3 linked regions of the Oryctolagus cuniculus genome follow. The protein of the gene in region 2 interacts with the protein of the main gene of each other region in a pairwise test. Links are inferred from orthologs where the notes say so. Each region holds a gene or a part of one and is shown on either strand. Other genes may lie near its edges.

What was found. The genes of interacting proteins can lie anywhere in the genome.
Region 1: the proteins of SFN (region 2) and HDAC4 interact in binary tests that used the Homo sapiens proteins (3 or more experiments, as listed by UniProt). The link is inferred for Oryctolagus cuniculus from reciprocal best matches to the Homo sapiens genes SFN and HDAC4.
Region 3: the proteins of SFN (region 2) and BAD interact in binary tests that used the Homo sapiens proteins (3 or more experiments, as listed by UniProt). The link is inferred for Oryctolagus cuniculus from reciprocal best matches to the Homo sapiens genes SFN and BAD.

The regions. Positions count from the first base shown.
Region 1 is NC_091434.1:1,665,960-1,671,999, reverse strand, and holds part of HDAC4 (histone deacetylase 4), read right to left. Parts: intron 2,436-6,040; coding exon 2,351-2,435; intron 1,632-2,350; coding exon 1,490-1,631; intron 1,354-1,489; coding exon 1,314-1,353; 3' UTR 1-1,313. UniProt on the Homo sapiens protein: Responsible for the deacetylation of lysine residues on the N-terminal part of the core histones (H2A, H2B, H3 and H4).
Region 2 is NC_091438.1:144,639,882-144,645,118, reverse strand, and holds SFN (14-3-3 protein sigma), read left to right. Parts: upstream 1-2,691; 5' UTR 2,692-2,794; coding exon 2,795-3,541; 3' UTR 3,542-3,676; downstream 3,677-5,237. UniProt on the Homo sapiens protein: Adapter protein implicated in the regulation of a large spectrum of both general and specialized signaling pathways. Binds to a large number of partners, usually by recognition of a phosphoserine or phosphothreonine motif.
Region 3 is NC_091432.1:7,042,017-7,046,860, reverse strand, and holds the end of BAD (bcl2-associated agonist of cell death), read right to left. Parts: intron 2,566-4,844; coding exon 2,375-2,565; intron 1,911-2,374; coding exon 1,785-1,910; 3' UTR 1,510-1,784; downstream 1-1,509. Other genes in the region: PLCB3 (1-phosphatidylinositol 4,5-bisphosphate phosphodiesterase beta-3), read left to right, coding at 1-201. UniProt on the Homo sapiens protein: Promotes cell death. Successfully competes for the binding to Bcl-X(L), Bcl-2 and Bcl-W, thereby affecting the level of heterodimerization of these proteins with BAX. Can reverse the death repressor activity of Bcl-X(L), but not that of Bcl-2.

The DNA.
Region 1 (6,040 bases), on a different chromosome or scaffold from region 2:
ATTAAAATCAAAGGACAAACTCGTGGGCTCGCCGTGTGGCGGCAGCTGTGCGGCGGCCCCGGGGGCCGGCCGGGAGCTGAGCCCGCTGCGAGAGCACCGTGACAGCCAACGCACGCGTCCTGCGCTCCCCGGGGCCTTCCACCTGCATTTAATTTTTTTATATATATATATACTTTTTCTATAAATGCATTATAAATATTTTATCAAGATTTCATAAGAATCAAGTTTCTTAGCTTGGAATACATTGGAATATATATTATACATATATATATTTATTTATACCTAAAATGTAAGCAATACTTCATGCTACTTGCTTTTCATAAAAAGCATTCCGGCCGCAACACTGCGAGTGTGCCTAGGACATGCTCAGGTCGGGGCGCGCCCGCGCCGGGGCGCACGAGGCAAGAACACTTTGGATTCCTGTCGACTCGCTGGACTGCAGCCCCCAGCGGCGCTGCCGCGTTCTGGAACGACCTCCGTTCCTCTCAAACAGCAATAAAGGCGAGCCGGGGCCGCCAGGGCTGCCGGGGCCGCCGGGGGAGGCGGCTGGCGCCTGCTCTCCACGTGTCCGGCCACACCGCCGGGCTGCACCGGCCACAGGAAAGTGTCCCACCGATTCCTGCTGCTCAGTTTATCTTAAGGCATTGTTCCTCAGACTTCAGAAAACCCAGCCCCAAAAATCCATCCGGGCAATAAAAAAAAGGCACAAACTCGCATCTCCGACGGCTTCGAGAAACCGAAGCCGACGCCCCGGGCTCGCACTGTGGTTCTGTCAGGTTTTGTCTTCAAAGGTTCGTCTGCTCTGCCCCCGCCGCAGACCGCCGAGGGCCACGGGGGTGGGCCAGAGCCGTAGAAAACTTCCTCTTAAAAAAAAGAAAATGAGCTACAAGATGAGTTGAGTGGTTTACACGGAGACTGTGGAATTGTGGGTCCTAACCGAACTTGAAGCACCAGTTTTGATCAAGTCTGTTTTGCATTATTAGATCTTTGATTTCATTTTCTGTTCCTTGCATCGACTGAATCCGGCAACCCTGCCACGAGTCGCCGCAGGCCTCTGGCGGCTTCCCTCCTGGGAGCCGGCGGTGTGCCTGGCCTCCGCGTGTCCGTGTGTCTGCTCGCTGCCGTGTCTGTCCCGTGCTCCGCGGGACGCTGCCAGGCCCGCGTGTGGGCGGCAGAAGGGCTCCCGCTGCGGCCACGCGCCTGCGCCCCAGCACTCGAGGGGGCACCGCGGCAGACGCGGGTGAGCGGGAAAGTTTCTTGGCTGAGCTTCAAGACAGAGACAAACAAACAAGGGAACAGCGCCTTCCAGAGCGCTACAGGGGCGGCTCCTCCTCCATGGGCTCCTCCTCGGGTCTGCGTGGAGGGGGCAGAGGGGAGAGAACCACAGGGCCGTCACCGCAGGGCCCGGCCCGGCCCCGCCCCGGCCCCGCCCCGGCCCCCTGCTCAGGGCGGAACCTCTCCCAGGCTCTGCCAGGGCCCGCGAGCTCACCTCTTCTCGGCCGGCTTCACGCCCACGGACAGCGAGGCCATGGCCGTGACCGTCTCCGCCTCCTCGTTCTCGCACTTCTGCGCCTCCATCAGGGAGTGCCCGGCCGTGGAGGACAGGCGCTGCAGGCAGCGCCAGTACTTGCCTGCGGGCGGGGAAGGCGCACTCAGGACCAGGCAGGAGCTGTCGCAGGGCCCGGGGTCTCGCGAGTCAAAAGCACCTCTCTGAAGCGGCAGGCCAGCCCACTCGTCTGGGCAACATTTCCGGGTAGCCAGGGGCATCGAGCCTGCCTGGGATCACCTGGCGCTCCCTCCGCACCTACAGGTCCCCGCAAGTGCAGTGACTGACAGACCTGGGGGTGTGCCCGGGGCTGGGAGCGGCTCTGGGCCAGGAACCCGGGAGCCGATGTCTGGGACCTCGTGGGACTGGGGGTGGGGGCTCCCGTGGGGCCCCTGCCTTGGGACTGACAGACGCTGGGGGTGTGCCCGGGGCTGGAAGCGGCTCTAGGCCAGGAACCCAGCCCCCGCACAGGCACACCGGGAGCCGATGTCTGGCTTTACCCACCTCTCGGAGGGCCTTGCCCACTCGGGTCTCCGAGACCCAGAGATAAACAGGGATCTGCGGCGCGGACACGTGTGAGACAGGCGAGCCGGCAGGGGTCCCCCAGGGCCTGTGCTCACAGGGCAGTGGTAGGAGGTTGCCCTGCAGCCCCCCACTCGGGCCCCCAGCCCTGGGCTGCCCGGCGCTGCTGGGGCCCCCGCTCTCTGGCCTGTGCAGTGGGGTAATGTGTCGTCACGGGAGGCTGTGGCTGCTTCTACCCGCTCAGCAAAGGCCAGCTGACAGCGGCTGGGCCCGACCACTCACTGTGGATGTCCATGACCTTCTCCATGGAGCGGACGGCGTTCGCGTTGGGTCTCTGCTGGACCACCTGCTCGGGCAGAGGGTCGAGCTGGAAGAGAGAGGGACACACAGTGGCTACCCAGCCAACGTGGCTGTCGCAGCACGGGGCCAACCCTGCCCCTGCCCGCTGCCGGGCCGTTCGTGGAGTGCGTCTGCCCGCAGGGAAGAGGACACTCAGAAAGGCTCACGTGGCCGCGGGAATCTATTAGCTCACTTCCTCCCGGCCTTGGCCGCGGGCTCCCGGCGCTCCTGCCGGCAGGTGGAGGGAGGACAGGGCCCGGGCGCGAGCTGCTGCCTGCTCTCCGCCCCCGGGCCACGCCAGGGGAAGCGGTTAGTGTGCTTTAGGAGCATCGTGTTCCTCTCCACCCGCTCTGCTCCCGCATCTCCTGCAGGCCGCTGGTGGCCATCCCCCCACCTGCCCTCCTGGGCCCATCCCCTGTTGGCACAGAATGACAGGCAGAGGCGAGTCCACAGGGACACCTGTGAATGACCCAGGGGCCAACCGGGGAGGTAAGACTCCTCCACGGAGAATCCTGATCACTTGTACACCACCCCTGCCCCTGCCCCGTCCCTGGTGTGGCTCGGCTTGGAGCTGGTCTCTGAGCTGTGCACGGTGACTGGGGCTCAAGGAGGAGGCCAGCACAGAGGAAGCCGCCCAGGAGGGCACTGGCGCGAGGGCTCCGTACACCTTAAAACCTCCCAGAGATCAAAAGTTAAACGAGCTGGTTTAGACCCCCCAAGACTGCAGTCACTGAAACCGTCAGTTACAACTTAAAACACGCTTACTGCACTTCAAACACACAGGAAAACACTCATGTGTGAGGAAAAGCCAGAGAGTGCGGTACCTGACCTGGAAGACTTGGGGGAGGGGGAAGGGGAGGGGGAGAGGGGGAGAGGGGGAGAGGGAGAGAGGGAGAGAGAGAATGAATTAGCAATCCAAGCGTGGCAGCAGAAAGCTGGGCACGCGATGAGACCAGACAGGAGAACACCGTGTGGAGGGGCACCCGAGGCAGTGGCCCAGAGCAAGCCCAGAGGGTGGGCTGTGGGGGTCTGTGCGGCTGCCCGCAGGTCCTCAGGGAACAGGGAGAAGGGACGAGGGGCAGCCAGACACGGGGCTCCGGCCCTGGGGCCTGCAGCCTGGGAGAGGGGCAAGACCCGGCAGGCAGAACAGGAAGGGAAATCCATGCCTAGGCAGGATGGCGACACCAGGCGGACAACCTCAGGGGCCGAGGGAGCCGATAGGCACGCGGGCATGCCGCAGGAAGCGTGGCCTGGTGCTGTCGGTGCAGCCAGAGAAGCGTCTGCGCTGTCTGGAGCTGGCATTGCAACCAGCATCCTGGCTGCTCGGCCTCCAGTCCCAGCTCCCAGCTCCCGCGCCTGGCAAGCCGAGGAAATGGCACAAGTCCTTGGGCCCCTGCACCACATGCAATGCGCTGGATGGAATCTGGGCACCGGCTTAGGCCTGAACCAGTCCTGGCCACTGTGGCCACCTGGGGAGTGATCCATCAGATGGAAGACTGATCTCTCACAGTCTCTCTCTTTCTGCATTTCAAAAAAATAAACAGGGGCCAGCGCTGTGGCACAGCAGGTGGAGCTGCCGCCCGCAACACCAGCATCCCATAAGGGTGCCAACTCGAGTCCCGGCCACTCCACTTCCGATCCAGCTCCCTGCTGATGGCCTGGGAAAGCAGCGGAGGATGCCCCAAGTGCTTGGGCCCCGGCACCCACGTGGGAGACCTAGAGGAAGCTCCTGGCTTCAGCCAGGCCCAGTCCTGACTGCCGTGGCCATCTGGGGAATCAACCAGAGAATGGGACATCTCATTTTCTCTCTGTAACTCTGATTTTCAAATAAATGACCACAAAGGAAATGGGCTGAGTAATGGTCAAGTGGAACTAGGGACGTGTGGCTTGCAGGGAGCGAGTCACAGCCAGCCTCATGCCCTTTGCAGAAGCAGCGTCTGCGGCCCGAAGGGGCTGATGGTCAAGGACAAGACCCCTGGGTCGCAGTGCTGGAAGACGTGGCACACGGGGTGCAAGGCAAGCACCACGTGCACGCGGGCAGGGCCCCTCTGCCACGACGAGATGCACGCAGGCAGACGGGGGTAAATCTGCCTCCACGGGGGAGCGTCCCACTCGTCTTAGACCCAGCAGCCAAGCGGACAAAAACCGGTGAAGAAACAAAAATGTGCAACTAGGCAGCATGGGTAAGGGACACAAACCAAGTCCTGCAGAGCTGGAGACACATGTGATGCCAAACACGTGTGCAGTGCCATGTGGACTGACCACAGCAGCCACCACACACGTTCCACGGAACACAAGCGCCAGCCAGGCCTCTTCTGACCACGGTGCATTTGGTTAGAGACTGGCAACAGAGAGAGCCCCTACGTCTGGAAATTTAAAAGCACGGTGATTCCCGAGGCAAGGAGGAAGTCACGGTGGACACGAGGCCGTGCTCAGACCACAAACACGGCACGCATGTGAGGAGCTGTGTGGGGCCTCCCACACACACTCAGAAAACAGTACTGGGGTGGGGGGTGAAGAAGTTAGCAAGGGGGCGGAGGATGGAGACACAGAGAAGGAGCAGACGCAGACATGTTCTGAGAGGGCGAGGGCTGAACGCGGTCTGTCCCGGCGTGCTGGCCAAGGACGAGTGCGCGGGCGGCCGTGGGGGCTACAGCAGGAAAGGATGAACTTCCCATAAAATGTAAACCCAAAATTAACTCAAGGAGGCCACTGAGTGGGCCTACAGCCATCAACGACACGGTCGAAGTCCCGCCCAACGGCCACGGGGCACAGACGGCTGGGAGTGGACACTGCACGCAGGACAGCTGTGGCGGGCTGAATTGACAGCCCCCAGCAAACCACGTGGACGCTGTGCCACAGAGGTGAGCAGCTGTGTCCCTGGGCCCCACGTCCTCTCCACAGCTGCCTCTGAGCCGTCCAGGGACCACAGGAGTCCCAGTGGACCAGACTCCGTGTCATCAGGTCTCATTACTCAGCTCAGCTGTGCCTGTGTCCCACGTGGCTGCCTGGGGCCCAGCTTCCCAGCAGGACCTGCACATGCGGTGGCCCTCCCCTCATAAGCCGCGTACCTCTGAGAGCCCCTCCCCTGCCAGGCCTCCGGCACACGCTGGGCACAGGTGTCTGCGGAGCACTCAGCACTCAGCACGGCGGGGTCAAGACTGCGCTGTGTGGGCGCCTGGCACCCTGTGCGCATCTGCTCTGCGAGGAAGCCACAGGACATTGTGGCAAGGAACATGCGAAATCTGGGGGGGGGGTCCTCAAGTCCTCTTCCAGGACATTTCTGGCAGCTCCCACGACAGCTCCCACGACACCCCGCATTGGTGGTGGTCGAATGTGGGTGCTGGCGATGACACGGCTGAACGGCCCACCCCCCGTGTGTCCTGGCGAGGCTGGGGACAGGGACAGCACACGCGGCTGCCTCTTTTGCCTCCACCGGCATCCCTGAAGGGACCACAGCTAAGAACTGCGCTGGGGGAGGGGAGAGGAGGGCAGGTGAGGCTGGCCCTGCCGTGGGGGTGCTGAGAGCCTGGAGCTGGGGACTGGGGGGTGCAGGCTGCCCCGAGATCAGGGGAGGGCCTTGTGCTCAGGACGGGCCAGCAGAGTGGGGGACACCAGAGCTGTGGCCGACTT
Region 2 (5,237 bases):
GGGTGCTGCCTTTTCCGCAACACAGTCCTTCAAAGCTGTCACCACCGCTGAAGGGGCTGCCTGCTGTGGGTGCAGGGACCTTGAGCCCGCTGGGGGCAGGGGGGCAGATCCTGTACAGAGTGTGCGGAGGCAGCAGGCAGCATGAGGAAAGCCCCTTTGGGCCGCAGCCCCAGCTGCTGCCCTGCTGACTCAGGGAGCTGACGGTGGAACTCTGAGCCCTGCTAGGGCCTGCTGCCTCCTGCCCGCCCGGGCTCCTGGGCTTGGGAAATGGAGGCCTGGAGGCAAAGGGAGGAACCTGAGACAGGAACTGAGTCAGGAGCAACAGGCCAGAGCGGGCAGGAGGTGTCGGCTGCCTGGCTCCCGGATTCATCCCTGACCTGCAGCCCAGCGGGAGGAAGAGTGAGGGCCCCCCTCTGCCTCGCTCAGGGCTGAGCTGAGGCAGTCACGGCACGTGGTCTAAACCAGGCCCCTCCTTGCATTCAGAAGAAGCTCCGAAACTCCCACGCCTGCTGGGCTCTGCCTTCCAGGTACCCCCAACCCCCCCGGACTTGGGGAAGCCCAGGGAAGCCCTGGCTGGCTGACTAGTGCGAGGGAAGCTCCCTGAGGGCCCAGAGCCTGCTCGGTGGAGAGGGGGCGGCAGAGCTGAGTGCACCTGACAGTTCATCCCCTGGAGAGGGAAGCCTGGGCAACTCTGCCCCTCTCCCCTGTGGGCAGGGCCCGGTCTGGGGCCCTTCCTCACTGCCAGCACCCAGCTCTGTGTGTATATGTCTACAGAGTTGGCTGGATTTCTTCACGTAGCAGTAGTCACCATCCACTCTAGCAAGAGATTCCCACGAACTCATTTAATGCTCACAAAAGCCTCACCTTACACCGCCAGGAGCTGAGGCTCAGAGGGTCAGCCACCGGCTGACAGCACCACAGACTCACACAGTCTGATCCCAAAGATGCAAGGCCGCTCTGTCTTTCAGAGCAAAATAATACACATGCAGCAAGAATAACAGAGAATAAAGGTGAAGAGGAAAAAAACCACGAAGTTTCACTAGCAGATACTCTGGCTAAACTGGTACTCGAGCCTAGTTCCTTTCCTTCGTCTTCTGCGTCAGCGCTCCGATTTGAGCAGAGCTGTCAGGATGTCAGGGCCAACAGCCTGTCTGCTGCCTTGGGAGGCCTGGCCCAAACTTGTCCCTTGTGGCAGAGAGCCAGATGTCGTCCTGGATCCTCAGGGTTCTGGCCCAGGCCACTCTCCAGGAGGCAGGTGAATGTTCAGACACTGAGAACCGGCCCAGACACAGGCCTGTGAAACGGTCCCAGCTGAATCCCAGACGGGAGCCGCACCCCTGAGTCCCAGCTAAGCTTTGGCTAGGGGCAGGGCAGCTAAACAGGAACCCACCCTCCTTGGCTCAGTGCCAACGTGAAACTCGAGGACTGGGTCCCCACACGCAGGGACAGAGGTTGGCGACGGAGGTCTCCAGCTCCGACACCTCTGCTGTGGTCAGAGCTGGGGCCGTGGTCAAGTGCAAGGGACATGGAAACTTCTGGGAGACAGGCTGGGGGGAGGCGTCACTCAGCTTCCACGGCTGCCCCATAAAACAGTGTGTGTCAGCGCCACCTCCTTCTCCTCGGCCCCGTCTCTCCCCGGGGTTGCCTGCGTCCCCCCTGGGGGACCAAACTGGACTGAGCACCCAGGTGGCCTGCTTCCCAGCCTCTGACAGAGGACAAGCTGAGTCAGGAAGGAGAGTGGGACCCTTCGTGAGCCCTGCTGCTCTGTGATGGCAGGCGGCGTGGAGGGGGCAGCTGACCCGGCCTGGAGAGCCTCATGGGAAGTCCTCCAACAAGTGGCAACAGGCCACCGACTTGAAAGGGAAAATTGTGCTGTGAAGGGGAAGGTGTCCGACGAACCTACTGGGTGACTAATTACGCAGGCCCGGCTGGAGCCTCGGAGGCCGCTCGTTAAACACTTCGTTAAGTAGCACCCTGATAGCTGCCACCCTTCTGGGAGCATTTGGGAGCTCGGAGGGGACCCTGCATGGCTGAGGCCCTGGGGCTGGAATTGTCTCCCAGTAGACTCAGGAAGAAGCCTGGCCTCACTTCTAAAAGTCTGGAGCTCCCCGGTCAGAGGGGGCAGGTGACCTGGCATGCAGAGCCCATAGGAGAAAAGCCCAAGGAAGCTGGGTGCAGGAGAGAGCTGCAGGGACTTGGCAGCTGTGTGGCCCTGAGCAAGTCTCACAGCCTGAGAGTGAAGAGGCTCCCACACCACGTCAGGGCTGCACACCTCACAGTCACGGTGGGGACTGCACCCAGTGAGGACTAGGGAAGCGCTTGGGTTACCTCGCCTGAAGGGGGGGGGCAGTGCACCTGGCCGGATTAGCAGCCCCATCTTCCTGCACCCACCTGAGCCCACAGGCTATGCCAAAGCCGAAGCTGCCAGGTGGCTGAAGCCGTCCTTACCTCCTGGCAGCTTCCTAACGCGGGTGCTGGACAGGAGGGGGCAGCCTGGAGCCCAGCAAGGTGCCCGCACAGGTGGGGCCCACGCCCAGATTTCTCCTGCTGACTGTTCCAATGACTCACCCCCACATCCCGGCCCTTTTACCTTTAAGGAAGAGCCGGAAAGGGTGTGGGGAGAAGACAGGGAGGCAGGTCCTGGGCCCCAGTCCCGCCCCCCCGCCCCTCCCCACCCTTGCCTAGGCCAAGCCACCCAGCCAAAAGGCAGGTTGAGAGCAGCAGAGGCACAGAGTCCAGCCTTGGTCCCCAGGCAGCCAGCTCGCCCGCCGCCCGTCTCTCTGTCCCCAGAGCCATGGAGAGAGCCAGTCTGATCCAGAAGGCCAAGCTGGCCGAGCAGGCTGAGCGCTACGAGGACATGGCGGCCTTCATGAAGGGCGCGGTGGAGAAGGGCGAGGAGCTCTCCTGTGAAGAGCGAAACCTGCTCTCGGTGGCCTACAAGAACGTGGTGGGCGGCCAGAGGGCGGCCTGGAGGGTCCTGTCCAGCATCGAGCAGAAGAGCACGGAGGAGGGCTCGGAGGAGAAGGGCCCGGAGGTGCGCGAGTACCGGGAGAGGGTGGAGAAGGAGCTCCGCGGCGTGTGCGACGCCGTGCTGGGGCTGCTGGACTCCCACCTCATCAAGGAGGCAGGCGAGGCCGAGAGCCGCGTCTTCTACCTCAAGATGAAGGGCGACTACTACCGCTACCTGGCCGAGGTGGCCACCGGCGACGACAAGAAGCGCATCATCGACTCGGCCCGCTCCGCCTACCAGGAGGCCATGGACATCAGCAAGAAGGAGATGCCGCCCACCAACCCCATCCGCCTGGGCCTGGCCCTGAACTTTTCTGTCTTCCACTACGAGATCGCCAACAGCCCCGAGGAGGCCATCACGCTGGCCAAGACCACTTTCGACGAGGCCATGGCCGACCTGCACACCCTCAGCGAGGACTCCTACAAGGACAGCACCCTCATCATGCAGCTGCTGCGAGACAACCTGACGCTCTGGACAGCCGACAACGCCGGCGAAGAGGGCGGGGAGGCTCCCGAGGAGCCGCAGAGCTGAGCCGCCCGCCGCCGCCCTGCCCCCTCCGGTCCCCGACGCCCCGCGGAGAGGACTACTACGGGGTGGGAGGCGCCCCCCTTCTCCCCCTCGCTGCGCCGCCCCGGCTCCCAAAGGCTCCCTGGAGAAGGGAGCCGCTGAGCCGAGGCCGCCCGGGGGTCTCGCTCTCCCTGCAAGCCGCGGGGCGCTCCCAGCCCCTGGCCGCCCCCCCACCCTGCTCTCCGCACCCCTTCCCCTCCCGCCTCGCCTCCCTCCTGCCCCTGCGGCTGAGCGCGGCGCCGGGCGGCAGAGGCGGGAGCTGGGGTGCGCGTGTGACTGTGAGTGAGCGAGAGGGAAAGCGTCTGTCTGCCGGCGGTGACCGGCTCGGCTCAATAAACTCCCCGTGACACTCAGTCCTCCGGTCTTCTGCAGTTATTGGCGCTGGGCTGGGAGATGGGTGGGAGTGGGCTTTGCACAGGCCCCGATTTCCCCCGCGGCTGGCCCAGCGGCCCGCGGGCGAGACCTTGCGGGGGCGCAGCCAGGTTCGAGGCGGGGGCCTCTCCCCGCTCCGGGTGGCCCCACACTGGTCTGGTCCCGGGAGGGGCGGAGAGCAGAGGCAGCACTGAGGCGCCTCCCTCGGGCTAGGGGAGCGGGTGCCTCAGGTGTGAGGTGAGGCCGCGGGGTGCTGCGCGGAGCGAGCGGCACGGAGCACCCCACCCTCGAGAGCGAGTGAAGGGTGCACGACCTGGGGCAGAGGCACGGCGCCGCCATTAGATGCCCAGACCTGAGGAAAAGAGAACGGCCCCCCGCCCCCAGCAGCGCTCGGGGATGCGGAGGAGGCACCCGCTGGGTGGGAACGGCCTCGGGGTGCCTGGCTCGCTGGACCCACAGCCTCCACTCCCGGCAGGAAGCAACACGCCGGGACCGGAGGCTGGCGCGCTCCGCCAGCCGGCACCCCTGGAGGCGGGGCCGGAGGCCGACACAGCCCAATCACAGGAGAGAGTTTCACGGGGTACCGCCCTCGGGGCGCAATGGCCCAATGAGGGAGTGAGCAGTGGAGCCAGCGCCCCGCCCCCCGGCGCGGCTGCTCGCAGACTGACCGAGCGGCGTCCCCACCACCCGCCGGGCGCCGAGGGGGCGGTGCTTTCCAGGTTTCGCTCAGACAAGTTGCCACCCGCCCGACCCGGGAGGCGGCTTCCTCAGGGCGGCGGGACGGGGCGGAGCCGTGCGCAAAATGCAGCCCCCGCCCTTTGAGTCATGCGTTCACCAGGCGGTGCCTGGGCTGGGCCGGGCTGGGCTGGGCTGGGCCGGGCCGGGCCGGGCCGGGCTGGGTCGGACGGGGCGGGCCGGCAGGCGCGGCTGGGAGAAAGCCCGCAAGATGCCCCACCGCACTTCAGAGTGGAGGCAGCCTGGCCTGAAGGGGGCTTGGAGTGTCAAGGACTGCCACCTTGGAAAAGCCCTGGGCCTCAGTTTCCCTTTTGTGTCATAAGGGGCCTGACCAAAAGGCGCTCTGACGACTGGGATCGACTCCCAGCCGGCCTTGCTTGCCTTTTCAAGGGAACACTAAAAAAGCAGTACCTTCCGGCCAGGCACTGACAGCAGGTTAGGCCTCCGCCCGCAGTGCCGGCATCCACGTGGACTCGGGTTCGAGTCCTGCCTGCTCCACTTCCAGTTCGGCTCTCTGCTGTGGCCTGGGAAAACAGCAGAAGATAGCCCAAGT
Region 3 (4,844 bases), on a different chromosome or scaffold from region 2:
CTGGCCCAGTTGGCCCGGGAGTGCCAGGAGCGGCGGGCCCGGCTGCCCCAGGAGATCCGCTGCAGCCTGCTGGGCGGGACGCTGGAGGGGCTGGGGGACGGGCCCCTGGTGGCCTGCGCCAGCAACGGGCACGCGCCGGGCTCGGGCGGGCACGCGCCGGGCGCCGACCCCGAGAGCCAGGAGGAGAACACGCAGCTGTGAACTGGCCGAGCGAGGTGGCGCGGGGCCGGGGTGGGCGCCGGGCGCGGGCGGGAGGCCACCACACTAATGCGTCCTTTTTTTAAAAAACAAAAAAACACACAAAAACAAAAAACCTTTTTATCTTTAGAAATTTTATTTTTTTAAGCCCTGGGCAAGCATCCCACACTAACTCCCTTCCTTCCTGCTCAGGGGCTCCACTGGACTCCTCCCCCAGCCTCACCCTGGGAGGGGCCTGGTCCCGCAGGTGGGCGCTGGGGGGCTCCCGGGCTTTCTTTAGTCCCTGGGGACTCTTCGCGAATAAACGTGCATTTCAGGGACCCTTGTGCAGCGTGCTTGGGGCCCCAGCTCTGCCTCTGCGCTTTCTGGGGGCTGTGGGTGCTGGCGGGGTGCAGGTCAGCCCCGGGACGCTCCTCCTGGGCAGGGGCTCCTCCCGGGCAGGGGCTCGCTGGCCTCCCCCGTCCCCGCCTCCCTCCCCCAGGCCCTGGCCTCAGCTCAGGAAACCTTCCCCGCCCCCCCTTCCTGTGGCCTGGCGTGACCCAGGCACCCAGCTCCTTCCGCTGGGCAGCTCGGCCGCGCGGGGGCTGGCGGTGCGGGCCGGGCCGGGCCAGCTCAGAACCGGCCAAGGCAGGCGTGCGTACCCGGCAGGAGGGAGAGCTGTGCCTGTTTCACAGATGAGCGTACTGAGGCCCAGGGCGGAAGTCCGGCGTGCTGGCCAGCCCGGAGGCCGCCGGTGCGGGCAGGGCAGGCTGGCACCCGAGGCCGGCTCTCCGCTCCCGCTTCCTCCCGAGGAAGCCGCCTGCTAGCGGGCCTGCTCTCCGCCAATCGAGTGCTTGCTTTGCTGTTTTTAGTTTTGTTTTTTTTTTTTTTTTTTTTTTTGCAGCCTCGGGCAGATGGGGTGGGGAGGCCAGAGGAGCAGGGCCGAGGGGCCCAGGGTCACTCCCGGCCCTCCTCCTCCTGCGCGCCCGCCGCCGGCTCCGCGCCCCCACGGCCGACCCCGTCTCCCCGTCGGAGGCACCGCATGGGGGTCCACTCGCGGCCCGCGGGGCCGCGCCTCCTGCCGGGTCCCTGAGCGGCGCTGGCCCCCGGCCGGCCGCACAGTAGCCGCTCGCGGGGCCTGACCCAGCTAGGAACAGTGACCTCCCCGGGGAGCCCGCAGGGTTCCGGCCGCCGGCGGCCGCGGCGCCTGGTCGCCACCCTGGGGACGAGGCCCTGCGTCCGGCCGCGCGCCGCCTCGGCCCCTCGCCCAGCCTCCGTGACGGCGCGACCCTGGGCCTCGGGGCCCCAAACGACGGACAGAGGACACTCGGCGGCACAGAGGCTGGCTTTATTGGCGCCCTGGGGCGCGCGCGTCGGCCGCGCCGCCCCGCGGGGGAAGGTTCCGGCGGAGCAGCCGTTAGCCCCGGCTCGCCACCTGCGCCGGGCGGGGCCGCAGGGCCACTTCCGGAGGAACGCCGGGACTCCGACGGCTGCGGCACGCACCGGAAGGGGCTCGGGCGTCCAGACTGCGGGACTTCCGCCCACACCCGAGATGGCCGCCGCCGCCGACGGCAGCGGACTGGGTTTCGGGACTGTGGGGCCGAAGGTCACTGGGAAGGGGCGGAACCTCCTTTCCCCAAATTGCGATCCCACCAAGACTGGATGACGCGCGTCCAGCTGGAGCTTTCCCTCATCTGCATCGCTGTGCCCGCGCTCTTCGGGCGAGGCAGTCCCTTTGGGATGGGAAGAGGAAAGGGTTAAATGAGTCGCCTTTCCCCGGCGGTTCCGGTCAGGGTCCTCTCACTTCCGGAATCCCCGGGAGAACAATAAAGACCACAGTTCCCAGCATGCCCCGTACTGAGCGGTCCGGGAGGCACAGGATGCTGGGACCTTGGGAATGGGAACTGGCCGAACCGGCCGTATCGCACTGGAAGTGCCGCCTAGAATCCGTTAAGAGCCGGAGAACTAGCATCTATAAGACGAGACCGCAATTCAAAGTGAAAGTGGCGGCTCCGAAGCCGGAGCTAAAGAACCTAGGCACCCGGAAGGGGCTGGCCAGAAATACAGATACCAGCATGCCCCGCGCTCCAGAGAGCGTTGGTCCGGACTACAGGTCCCGGCATGCCCTGGGACTCCGGAAGGGGCCAGCTGCTGGGAGGCAGCCTGGAGCTGCCGCTTCTCTTAGGCTCGCGCTCACCTTGACGGAGCCCTCGAACTCGTCGCTCATCCTTCGGAGCTCGCGGCCGTAGCGCTGTGCAGCCCAGAGGTTGGGGGGCGCCGAGCGCGAGCGGCCCCGAAAGGGGCTGGGCTCCTCCTCGGCCCCTTCGCTGTCGTCCGCGTCCGCAGGGTACGAGCTGTGGCGGCTCCGGGTTTCCATAGCTCCGGCGCCTGCGGAGAGGGGTTTGGGGCGCGGCGGCGTGGGTCTCACCAACGCCGGCCGCACGCCCGGTCCCCTCCGCGGACGGGGACGGTTCAGTTCTCAGGAGTCCCCCCAGTCCTCACCGAGGCCCGATAGCGAGCGAGGCCTCGTGCACGAAATGAGCTTGCACCGTGCGCCGCATAGCGTCCGGCACAGCGGGAGTGGGTTCGGCGACGAGCGCGCCTTCGGCGGGGCCTCTGGTGCCCCGGAGCACCCCGTCCCGAGCCCTGCAGAGGGAGAGGCCGCGCCGAGCTGGGTGCGCGTGCGGGCGCCGGGGCACTTCGGGTTCTTCACCCGATCGCCCCAGGAGGTGGGCACCTTGGGGTGCCCTGGACGGGGCGCTAATCCTGGCCCTCAGCCGCTCGGTAGCGGGCGCAGCACGCACGGGCTCGGTGAGCGCCCGGGTCTGCCGCCGGCTCCGCCAGCCCTCCCCTCCCCCAGGCTTAGAAAGACCTAGAACCACTCCCGGAAGCAGAAGGCAGCGCTCCCAGCCAGGTGTGCCCCCGGGAAGGCCCGGGGCAGGGCTGGGGCGGAGCCTGGAGGTCAGCTTCCGGACCCTGCCCGACGGCGCCAGGCAGCCACCCAGAGGGTCTCCCCGCCGCTGGTCGGGGTCCCCTCACGGTTCCCGACGGCGTCTTCCGAGGGGTCGGGGGCGCCGAGTGAAGGGCCTGCTCTCCTCTGGGCAGTGGGGCAGCCCCGTCTCCCAGGACCACCGCGGGAACAGGGAGCCCGCGGCCGCCCTGCGCGGGAGTGAGCCAGTGCATCCAAGATTCCTTTGTCTTTCAAATAAAGTGAAAATCAAAACTAAACACTAGCGGGGATGTGGCCTGGGGCACAGAGGCGGTTTCCACCTGGGCTCCCCATCCTGGCCTGGGAGTCGGCAGAAGATGGTCCCAGCGCCCCGGGCCCCTGCCACGCACACACGGGAGGCCGGCGCCCGGGCCCCTGCCAGGCACACACTGGAGACCGGCGCCCGGGCCCCTGCCACGCACACACGGGAGGCCGGCGCCCCGGGCCCCTGCCACGCACACACGGGAGACCAGGCGCCCCGGGCCCCTGCCAGGCACACACGGGAGGCCGGCGCCCGGGCCCCTGCCACGCACACACTGGAGACCGGCGCCCGGGCCCCTGCCACGCACACACTGGAGACCCCGGGCCCCTGCCAGGCACACACGGGAGACCAGGCGCCCCGGGCCCCTGCCAGGCACACACGGGAGGCCGGCGCCCCGGGCCCCTGCCAGGCACATGAGAGACCCAAGTGGCGCTCCTGGCTCCTGGCTTCAGCCTGGCCCAGCCCTGGCTATTGAGGCCACCTTTCTAATGCTCCGCTTTTCAAATAAATAATACATTTAAAAAAGAAATACGGATGAGGCAGGAGAGGGCCTGAGTGCCCGGTGCAGGCCGTGCAGACAGCAGGGAGCGGGCTCAGGCTCAGCACTGCCCCGGCCCAGGAGTGACCACAGGCAGGTGCAAGGCTGTGTGTTAACTCCTTCGTCTCCATCACATTCAGGCAGAGAGGCTGAGTGACTCGCCAGGGTCACAAAGCTACTGGACCGCAGGGCCGGGCCCAAACCCCACCAGCTGGGCTCTGGGCCTCAGGCTCCATGGCCGCCCCGGGGGGCCCCGGCCCAGCCCAGCCTGCCCCTGATCCTAGGCAGCAGTAGCTTGTCACCAGTGCCAGGCTGTGGTCCAAATGACACCCGCTGGTGCAGACTGAATTCTGAGCTCCGGCAGAGGTTAGGTCCTCGCACCCCACGTCCAGTTCTGGGGCCTGCCCCCGTGAGGGAGACCGGGGTGAGTTTCTGGGGGCCTGGCCTCTGCCGAGCTGGCCCAGGCCCAGGCTGTTGTGGGCATTTGGGTAGTGAACCAGTGGATGAAAGATTGATCTATTTCTGTCTCTTTGGCTATCAAATACAATTGCACAAAATACAAATTCAGGAAAATTATAATAAATATTTTAAAGGGTTATTTACTTATTTGGAAGGCAGAGTGTCAGAGAGAGAGAAAGAGACGCAGGGCTGGGGTGGGGGGATGGGCGGCAGTTCGGAAAAAGGGATCCTCCACTCACTGGGTCACTCCCCGAATGCCTGCAACGGCAGGGCTGAGCCAGGCTGACGCCAGGGGCCAGGAGCTCCATCCAGGTCTCCCACGTGGGTGCAGGGGCCCGAGCACTCGGGCCGTCCTCTGCTGCCTTCCCAGGCGCATTAGCAGGGAGCTGGACCGGAAGCGGAGCAGCCGGGACTTGAAC